Arabidopsis thaliana: one gene and its partner. The protein of the gene in region 2 interacts with the protein of the main gene of each other region in a pairwise test. Each region holds a gene or a part of one and is shown on either strand. Other genes may lie near its edges.

The links.
Region 1: the proteins of SK13 (region 2) and AT1G35210 interact in a two-hybrid assay, tested with the Arabidopsis thaliana proteins (one large-scale study listed by BioGRID).

The regions. Positions count from the first base shown.
Region 1 is NC_003070.9:12,895,731-12,900,120, forward strand, and holds AT1G35210 (uncharacterized protein), read right to left. Parts: upstream 1,946-4,390; 5' UTR 1,655-1,945; coding exon 1,184-1,654; 3' UTR 852-1,183; downstream 1-851.
Region 2 is NC_003076.8:4,718,037-4,724,609, forward strand, and holds SK13 (shaggy-like kinase 13), read right to left. Parts: upstream 4,336-6,573; 5' UTR 4,064-4,335; intron 4,013-4,063; exon of another isoform or gene 3,945-4,012; intron 3,770-3,944; 5' UTR 3,737-3,769; coding exon 3,620-3,736; intron 3,514-3,619; coding exon 3,421-3,513; intron 3,242-3,420; coding exon 3,182-3,241; intron 3,087-3,181; coding exon 2,814-3,086; intron 2,711-2,813; coding exon 2,636-2,710; intron 2,555-2,635; coding exon 2,498-2,554; intron 2,380-2,497; coding exon 2,239-2,379; intron 2,126-2,238; coding exon 2,075-2,125; intron 1,933-2,074; coding exon 1,837-1,932; intron 1,754-1,836; coding exon 1,670-1,753; intron 1,589-1,669; coding exon 1,486-1,588; intron 1,397-1,485; coding exon 1,314-1,396; 3' UTR 958-1,313; downstream 1-957. Other genes in the region: DRM2 (domains rearranged methyltransferase 2), read right to left, coding at 84-133, 209-341, 420-542; AT5G14650 (Pectin lyase-like superfamily protein), read left to right, coding at 6,473-6,573. UniProt on the Arabidopsis thaliana protein: May mediate extracellular signals to regulate transcription in differentiating cells.

The DNA.
Region 1 (4,390 bases), on a different chromosome or scaffold from region 2:
AATAACCAAACATGTAAAAATATGAAATACACCTACCATTAATATATATTTCGAAATAATAATGTAATTTTTTTTATTAAATGTATTGAATTAAAAAAATTTCTCTTAAAATATAAAAATGAAACTTGTGAAATATAGAACCTATAAATATATTACCAATTTTTTTTCTTATATACTTTCCATCTAAATATGAATAACAAATTGATTTGAAGATGGAATAATGATCTTATATTTATCTTTTATCAAATATTTATCAAATATATGTTTTATTATAAATAAAATTATATATAAAGTGAAATTGAATGAAACTCTATGTGCATGTATAGATTAATCCTATATTTATATGAGAAGGATTGGGTAAATTTTCTCTATTATTGAATTATTTTAGTTGGTTATTTTTAATTTATTACGTATATATATATATGTTTACAATACTTCTAAAACGTTAACATGGCTCAATGGTTTAGAGCTTTAATAGCATTGAGAAGGTCACTAGTTCGATTCTTCCTTGTGTTTGTTTTTGTTTCTTTTTTCCAATTTCAAAATGACGTCGTTTTGCTTTTAACGGTAAATGCTAACAAAAAATTAATCCTGTTATTTTTTTGTTAACGGAAACTTAACGACATGCTTAAAATGGCAAAGTCAACAAAACTTGACTATTTTATCAAAAGTCAAGCAAAACTTTACAATTTTATTGGCAGTTTGGAAGTTCACGTTTTTTTCGTCCCAAATTTGAAAGTTCATGCTTTTTTTGACATTTTTCCATTTTATATTCTCACGAGTTTCATCAAAGAAAAGTCTAAGTTTTCTTTCAAGTAAGTGTGCGAACATTAATAACTACAACGACAACATTTTTTTGGGGGGTCAACTAAAATCAACAACGAAAATATTTTTTTTCAAGAAAATAAACAACGAAAAACATGTTCGCAAATCTCTTGATTTAGCGCATATAATTATATGTTCAACGCATATTAAATCTGGATTATCACATTTTATGTTACCACACTAAACTACAAGCTTAGGGAATCAATCACAAGAATACGTATAAAGAATCTCTCTCACTTGCACGTACCCACCAAACTGATCTAGTCATCTATATGTAGCAATCAATCTAAAATGAAAGAATCAAGAAAATACACAATCAAGAACAATCTAATCTAACAAATCTACAAGACTGACTATCTTATTGTCTCTTCTTTGTGCCCATTACCAAACCAAAAAAGAAACCACTATTCGTCTTTGTCTTCTTCTTCCTTCTTTTCTCATCATCCACTTTATAAGCTACGGATCGGCTTTTCGTCATCCACGAAATCACTTTCTCTCCTCTACCGCTGCCTCCGGACATTAACAAGTATCGTCGGCGATCAACAATAGGAGAAGGACAAGAAGAGACAGAAGAAGAACCGTCAGATGAAAGAGAGGAAGTAGTTGAGGAAGAAGTAGACAAGATTTGACGAGATCTTGGTCTACGTGAAGAAGCTGCTTTGATAAAAAGAGAGAGCCTCTCGTTAAGACAAAGAGAACAAACACCAGGTGATTGTCTATGCTTTGGATGCTTCTTGCAAAACACTGCGTTTTTGGTCTTATCTTCTGCCTTGTTCTTGTTACTTGACCCTCGTCTTATTCCGAGCAAGCTCGTGCTTAAGCTCGCCATTTCTTCATCTATTTGAGTGGTTAAGAAGAAACATCAAAAATGTTTATATAATTTTAATGGAGAGAATGATTTGGTCGTGGATGGTTCATTGGAGGTTTCTAGGGATTTTCCGGGAAAGTTTGAAGATGGGCCTTTTGTAAGATTTTTTTAGTTGACAGGTCGTGTGGGTCGGGGAAAAGAAGAATCAACGGTTAGGATGAAAGTAAGAGATTAAGTGACGGCTAAGATTGAGTGTAACAGGTCAGTTGAAATGACTAGAAAATTCCGAGTCTGGTAGGCGCAGAAAGTCCCAAACATTGTGTAATTCATATACAATATATAAACATTTACATATTAAAAAACATAAAACAAACAAAAATATATATAAGTTTAGTTCTTTTGGTTTGTACGTTATTAAATTTACACACAAAATACATTTAAACGCCATAATGTTTTAATCATAAGATGGTTTTTTCTACCATTTTGAAAAAATTAATTCCAAATCAACTACAATTGAATTGATCTTTCTAAAATTAACATATTTCTATGATACCATAATATTTGATATTTTTGCGTCTACCAAATAGGAAAAGGGTATTTTCATATTTTTACTGTTGGCTAAGTGTATTTTCATACCTGAATAATTTGGTAGGATAAACATGGGTTAAATTTTAGTTTTGTTTAATTTTTATTTCTATATTTTTGTTAAAAACAAATTGATATATTATAGTAGTAAGTGAAAAAAATTTAGCAACCACAAAATAAGATTGCATATAATTATGTTAGATCAAAAGTCAACATATTATAAATGAACCATATCTAAAATATATTAATTAAGGAACTTAGCTATTACTTTGAGTTAATTTAGGAAGTCATTTCTGAATTTTCAGTTTTTTAGTTGTTGAAATAGAAGTTTGTTTGAGCTAATTACATAATTTAGCATAATCGAATATATTATAAACATATATTTGGTATATAATAATACAAAATTCAGCCCGTACATAGAAACCGTATTTTTCATTTTAGAATTCTAATGAAAAAATTACTTACAAAATCAAAATTTTAAATATTTAGAGGTTGCAATCCTTATTTAAATCATCACATCTAATTTTAACCCACCGTTTATTATAAACATTATAACTTGTTTTATCATATAATATATTATATTTAACATGTTTAATTGTGAATTTCTGATTGATATGGCCAAGGGGAAATTGTATGATATATTTATCGTTAGAATTCATCAAAATATTCATTACTGGGCTACAAAATTACGAAAAATTGAATTTAGCTTCGCGAAGAGAAGTTGTAATAAGGCAGCACACTTGTTAGCTAAAAGGGGATGTCGATCTACTTGTTATTTTTCTGATTGTATGTACCTGCAATTATGGCCCAGTGAACAATTGTATCATGACGTTTTAAATTAATAAAATTATCTTTTCGACGAAAAAAATATGTCACCTGTTATAAATATTTTAAATATATCTATTTTAAAAAATCAAATTAGAGTACTAACAATTTTTCAAATTTTGATTTATTAAATAATTGTGATATTCTTTAAAAATATTAAATTACAATATTTATAAATGTTCAAAATTTTTTTTTTTTATTATGGTGGTATATAATATTATTTCAAAAAACAATTCTACGAAATCGAATATAAATTTTGGCCCGTCAGTCAGTTAAAACTTTTGTTGAATTATTTTTTTTAAGAATATATATTACCTAAGTCTGAAAATCTATTTATTTTTATATTTTATGGATGATATGATGATCTATTTTGTTCACAAAAATAGTATGATAAAAAGATGTGAGGTGAAGTATAATAATTAATAACAAATTAATATGGTAAGTTAGATATCAAATCTTATATGATCATTTTGATTGGTTATTCTTTTTTTAGAAATAATAACTTGACCGTTTTAGAATCCGTAGACCCGTGAGATTATTAAGTGGATCAAATTCTATGATTATATTTTTCTATGACATATTAATGTGGTTGTTACACTTTTGAATGTGACAACTTATGAGTGTAGTCTCCAATTAATAGTATAGGATTTACTACCCAAACCGCACAATTATTTGAAATTTATACATGAACTTGATAATTAGTGTAAAAATCAGATTCAAACTAACATGTGTTAGTCAACATCGTTACAAATCTGACTCAGCAAACATGTGGATTATGAAGTGTATATAAACGACGTTGTTTTGCATTTTTGGAGTTAAAATCTTAAAATAAAATTGCAAAACAAGGATTTCGAATCTTCGACCTTGTCCCTTTTAAAGGTGGTACATATATAACCATTTGTTCTCAAAACCTTCATTGAGACTTACCCAAGGATGTGAATTTATAAACATTAACGGTTTTGGGTTTTCAAACTAACAAAACAACGTAGCTGCGAATTGGGGAAAAATAATCCAAATCTAGGGTTTCAAATTGAAAACAATTTCTCATTTCTTCTTCTTCTCTAAAATAGAACAGAGAGCGACAAACAAGGAAATATTGAGAATAGAGAGCTAAAGAGATACATTGAGAAGAAGATATCGTCATTTTTCAAAAACAAAGTGATTCCTACTTATCCAGATATACCAGATTATCCATGGAAAGAGTTTTAAAACCTCCTCTCCTAATCTGAATTCCCGGCCTCTCCAAAAAATGAAGTCAAAATTATAAAACAGGGAATTTCTAGGGAAAATATTCCATGAAGAAGGAATAGGCGAAAGAGCCTAAATCTGTCTCGATGGTGTAATGGA
Region 2 (6,573 bases):
AAAGGAGAGGATATGAATACTGTGATGACAGAAGCACATGTAAATGACAAGCAACCCAAGAGATCAAAGTATTAGAAACTCACTGAGTATTTGGAGATAGTATCAATTATAACCGAAGTTTCTACATTTGGTCCTGTATAATTATTGGTATCAAGTTACGGATCATATATATCCAGAAAGGAATACAAACAAGAGAAAAAAGCCTCACCAGTTTCCTTGATCGCTCTAGAAATCATCTCAACAGGAAATCCCATGTCAAACAATGTAGCAAAAACCTCGTCTGAGAAGCCCATCTGAACTAAATCAGTTGTCTCAGTAGGAGAGCTCAAAGAACTAGTTGTCTGAAACAAAACAAAAATTCACATAAGCAATGATTCTGCTTAGGCATAAACTTATGACTGTTGGATTGGATCACTTACCACGGCTACACCAGCTAGATTTTCGACCCTACACTGCATTGCATGTATTGGAGATGACCGTGGAGAAGATTGAAAGTTATCAATCTCCAAAAAATCATCATCATCGTTATTCCAAATCACCATGAGTAATACCCAGAGAATTTTTAGTTTGAGCTACAGATTAAGCAGAAGCGCTCCCGCCGCCGGCAAAGATACTGTCGCCGTTGGTGAGAGAGCTTGTATCGTCGTCAGTTTACTGGAGGAGGAAACCGTGAAACAAAAAGTCGGATGATTCTAAAAAAGAAAAAAACAAATTCAGAGTATTGCAATTTAGTCCCTATTCTTTGTACTACTTCAATAATTAAACTACAATGTTTTTAATTAACTAAATCAATAAACATGAATAAATGACACGTTACGTGACACTTGTGGTGCTTAGAGGCAATTTGCGAAACTAATTTTTATAGTCAATGATAATTCATGTTTAGAGGATATTACCAATTACCGTATTTCGTTTGAGGAAGTGAAATTGGTTAAACTTAAACAAGAAACTCTCGTAAATGACACTTTTACACAGAACATAGGCTTTTTTAAAAATAAGTTTGGCTAAGCTTTGAAGCATGAGCTTTGGATGCATGCAATGACACGTGACGAGCGAGAAGTTTATTTTATAATTTAGTATCCAACATAACTGTAGCGACCGGCGAGTCAAAGACCGTCACATACATTACACTAATCATTGTATGTAATAAAGTACAAAGGTTGTGATAAGACAATAAACAACAAAGATACATGAAAGATGAAAGCTAATGATAATCCTGAGAAGCTATCTCCATTACTTAGAAACGATAAGCATATTATATGCATGTGTACATACACACACACACACATATATATAGAGAGAGAGGAAGAGATTTAGAGAGCGAGGAAGGAACATTGTTTTCGGGCGTGGTCAGGTATAAGCTTGGACAACAACTCTAAACTTGCTCCTTTTAGCTCTACATATTTAACAAGAAGCACACACTTTTAGTCTTTGTTAAAACGGAGCATTGGGAAACAAACAAAAGCATATTTGGAGGAGACAGACCTTGAGGTTTAAAGTTGAAGAGAGGAGGCAAGGCACGACCATTAGGAAGACGTGTATTGGGATCACGTAGCTCATCGAAGAACGGGTGAACTATCGCCTCCATCTACAATAACAAGTAAGTTTGAATCAACCAACCAGATATATCAAACATAATGTTATTATGGTAATCACTTCATTGACTTACAGCGGTTGATCTGAGGTTTGGAGAATACTGGAGAAGTCTTGAGACAAGGTCTACAGCTTCTGGAGGTGTACGCTTATGGAATATCTTAAGAACCAACAACAGATTTTTCAATCGTAAGAATATATGGAGATCAATGTTAAGGAAAAACTGATGATGTGTTTGCTTACTTTGTGCCAAGGATGAGCCTTTATTTGCGGGAATTTGAATTCTGTGTAGTTTGGATTCATGCATTTGATTTCCTCCCGTGTTGGTGTTCCAAGAACCTGTAACACACACAGTAAACAAAATGATGGCAATCAATAGCAGGAAATGGAGCCTCTTCATTCCATATAATCAATGATCCACTCTATGTTCAATATAGCAATGGCTAGGATTATGTGTGTTTGTTTAACCAAATTGAAGTACCTTTATTATCTCAACTAGCTGGTCAACTCCACTCTCACCTGGAAATAGAGGCTAACCAAAAGTTGGACAAGCCAAAGATTGGTAATATATAACTTTAGACATCATTCGGTAAATCAAATCATTTGTAAAAGATAAATGGAGGAAAGTTTGGACAGTCATATTACCTGTCCCAGAAGCAATTCAGCAAGAACACAGCCTGCAGACCATATGTCAATTGTTGTTGTATATTCTGTAGCTCCAAATATAAGTTCAGGTGCTCGATAGTAACGGGAGCAGATGTATGAGATGTTTGGCTCGCCTTTAACCTGTTACAGAGGGGCAAAGCTAAAATAGTTAGGACTAGTTAACATTGCATAGCACCATAAAAAGTGCAAACTTTTCAATATGAAAACAAATCAACATGTCTCTTTACAAATGCTATACCAGAACTTTTGCGCTACCAAAATCGCATAGTTTGACCTGATGCGTATGAGGATTAACCTACGAGAAGCACAAGATTGATCAAGCAGAAGCATGTAGACCAATAAAATGTTATGAATAAAATCAACTAAGGATACGAACCAGAAGATTCTGTGGTTTTATGTCTCTGTGGCAGACTCCTACTCCACCATGAATATAAGCCAAAGCTCTGCAAATCTGCACCCACAACAGAAGGAAGAAATCATGGAAACAATGTTGATTAACTCATTGTATTTCAAAAGATGAGAACAGATGTTCTGGTGGGCTGAATAATAACTACCTGATAAGTATAGAGTTTAACATATATAATGGGCATCCTCTGGTTTGCCCGACTATAGTGCTTTGAGACGCGATAGACAGTCTCAGGAACGTATTCAAGGACCAGATTGAGATAGAGCTCATCTTTTTCAGTCGTTGAGAAAAAACAATGCTTGAGGGATACAACATTAGGGTGATCAAGAAGACGCATTGTCTGCAGCTCCCGATTCTTGTATCTCTTGTCTTGCAAAACTTTCTTGATTGCAACAGTTTCCCCCGTTTCTAAACACTTGGCCTGCATATATACAAGTAACAAAATTATCTACATTGAGTCAATGCACCGGCTACTTAGTAAAATCAATTATTCAGGGTAGTTAATCGAAACATCACCTGAAAAACGATTCCAAAAGAACCTTGTCCAACGATGCGCTCTGCCATATAACTTATGGTCTGAAAGGACAAAAAGAAAGAGCTATAAGAGACTTTATCACACGTTACACATCACAGAAACCACAAGTTGTGCGAGATATGGTGTGCCACTCATGTATGCGAATGATCTTTCTATCAACTTCCTATTAACATAGAAATAATGGAAATTCCTCAAAAACAAAAATGTTAAACAAGCTAACCTGTTTAGGCTGACCATTTTTACCACCAATAGTTGTAACAATAATGTGACCTGTTTCAGTTCCATTCCCATCAACCACAGCTGCTTCCATTTCCTACAAGAAACCACCAAACAGCAAGAAGAAAAAACACATTATTAACAACATAAAGTCCAAATTAAATAAGAGACTAAATCTCAATATTGAATCTGAGTTCTTCAACCTTATCATCTTTTATCTTCATCTCATTAATCCCTTCAGGTAATTTTTCAGCGCATATAGAAGCATTGCTTTGTTTTGTAGCCATAGAAGAAGCTGGTAATGTTCCCACAGAAGCCATATGTATTCAAGATCTTTAATTCAATTTGTCAATCTGTTAAGTCCAAACACACAAACAAAACATAGGTTTTTGTTAAATCACTTTCACACAACCAAATTGGAACAAAAATTACTTTAGCACAGAGACAGTGAATAAGATCTAATAAGTAAGAGCTCCCAAAAGCCTAGCTCTACATTTAACAATAGATTTATCCAAAGTTAACCACAACCTCAAACCTCCCTAATCTGTAAAACTAGATGTTTTGTTCCATAATCTCTCAGCGTCAAGCTAAACAAGTTAAACAAACACAAAAAGTAAATCGCCGACTACGTCGTGGCGCCGTCATACCTGAAAAGTCACCGCCGCAATTTCACTCCACCATCTTGTCTACGCAGCAACTAGAGAAGCCCTAGAATAAAACACTTCCTTGCCGAAAATGGCAAATCTCTCTCTTCTTCGTGATGTGTTTTGTCTCGGTGTTTGGTTTTTTCTTCTGATGGCAGAGAGAGAGAGAGAGCGGACCCCAATAGGTAGTTTCAAAGTTTCAGTTGATAGTTAGTTTTGACGTCCGCGCTCTCAAGGAAGAAGAGTATCCGCACACGTGGCGTGTTTTGGTTGGAATTACTAAGACTCACGTCATTTGTGTTGACTGCTTTTAATGGTTTTGAATATCTTTCCTGCGGTTAAGTGTATTGTAAGCTTCTCTAATTGACGGTTAGATTTAGGTCATGAAAAGCCAGAAACTAATCGGACGGCTACTAGTTAGAGGAGTATGAAACGTTAAGCGAAGCGTGGCGTACACAGATTCTCGTTCTTCACTTTTTCGGTATTTGTTAAATTGTGTAATGTTGTTTTGTCAGAAAAGGAAATCTCAATTACGAAATCGCCAAGTCATCACATAAAGCGACAAGATTTAGTTCGCTATTCGATGTCGTGTCTGATTCGACCGTTGGTGTGGTCTTACACGAGGATGGGCCTTAAATGAATATGGGCTTGCTATATACTTTCTCTTAAATGATAAGGCCTGTAACTAGCACTTTTTGAATTTAAATTTTTTTGTCCGAGTAATAAATAATTGCCAATTGGGATTTTAGATAGGAATCACCAATTGTAAATAAATGGTTACGACAAAAGAGTGAATTTCGTACACGATTGACGTTATTCACATAATTGCGTGCAATACAAGTATACAACACGATGCATGTAAAACATTAATATAGAAGTTGACCAAAAACAAATAGTCACTATTAAAATGATTCAATCATACACGCCTATTACAATGCTCTAGATTATAGACGAACGTAGTAAACGTTACATCAAATCACGGGTTAAGAATACACAATGATGAAATTTTCAAATTTTACGTCTTATGCGAGTTGTTGGACTTGGACATACACGAATTCTACGGAGTACTAGAAATATTGTTCATGTGACTTGCGAGTTATGACCACTTCACCGATTTGCCATCCAACATTTTTCCCCCCTGTATAATATATAAAATGATTAAACCATCAAAATATTGCAAAATTAGTCTCACGTTGCAACGTTAACTATCTCATTTAAACCAAAAAAAAGTACCATTACCTATCTTGTACTTATTATATTCAAGATATTGTGAGAAAGAGGACAAGAAATCAGTTACTTGAAAACAAAATCTATATATCAAACTTTCAACTGCCAAAAGCAATAGAAAAATTAATAAAATAGTAACAAGATTAGAAGAACTTCTACAATGAGTGATTATGTTATTCCAATTTTGGTAAGCAATAGGCTTCTCAAGATCATGAAATCAAATAGAATAATTCAACAAAGTTTGTCAACACGCATGGGCTGCATACACCCATACACGTAGCAACGTGCAAATCTTATTATAGCAGCCTATATATCCTTTTACCTGGGGACTCATGCACGTGTATTCAGATCACGAGTTTAATTTCATACACTGGACCTTACTAATATGCTTATAATTAACCAGAAATCCTCAGATGTTGGTTTAAGCTCTCTATAACAATAAACAGAAAACAATATCGAGCATCTTATTGTCTTGCAATTAATGGATCTTTGCAAATATGAGTTGACAACAAAGGATTACTTGATTTTAAAAGATTCAGTGACACCATCGATTTAACATAAATTACGTTGCTTGATTTCAGGAACTAAACATAAATAAGATTATCTGATGATGAGGTTTACGTGACATCTGTATGGCAACTTTTCTTGACTCTTTCGCCATTTCTATTGATGCCTGATACATGGATTTTGGTTTTCATTGAACCGAATAGCTTACCAAGACCGGCTAAGTATCTGACCGGACCTATGCTCTGTTCTAAACGAAAGTAATCAGTTATTTCTAGCGCCTAAAAAACTGTACACAAACCTTCAAAATCAGTAATACATAGCCATTGCATGAAAATTAGAACTAATGCTAGAGAACACACTAAGATATTAGTAGCGACCAAAACAATTTCTAAGTAACACGCCTATTCAACAACAAATCAAAGCCAAATCGTAAGTAAAGATGTTGATGTCAATTTAATAAAATATAGCAAATGAGTAGAAACATGCTTGATTTGAAAAGGAAGAGAGTTCCAAGGCTTTTTGTCCTCATCTAACTGTTTAACTGTATCATAGATTCATTCTCATATGCGTAACAGTGTTTTTTCTCCACTTATAAATATGACCCTCGCTTTACCATTTTATATCATCTCATAATTAAACAAATTCTACCCTAGAAACAAATCGTTTACAATATTAAAGATGTGTAGACTAACATTGAAATGTCTTTCCCTGAACTTTCTCCTCTTAATCTCCTTATTCTCTTCGAGATTCGGGACTTGTGACGCTAGGTACAGTGTATA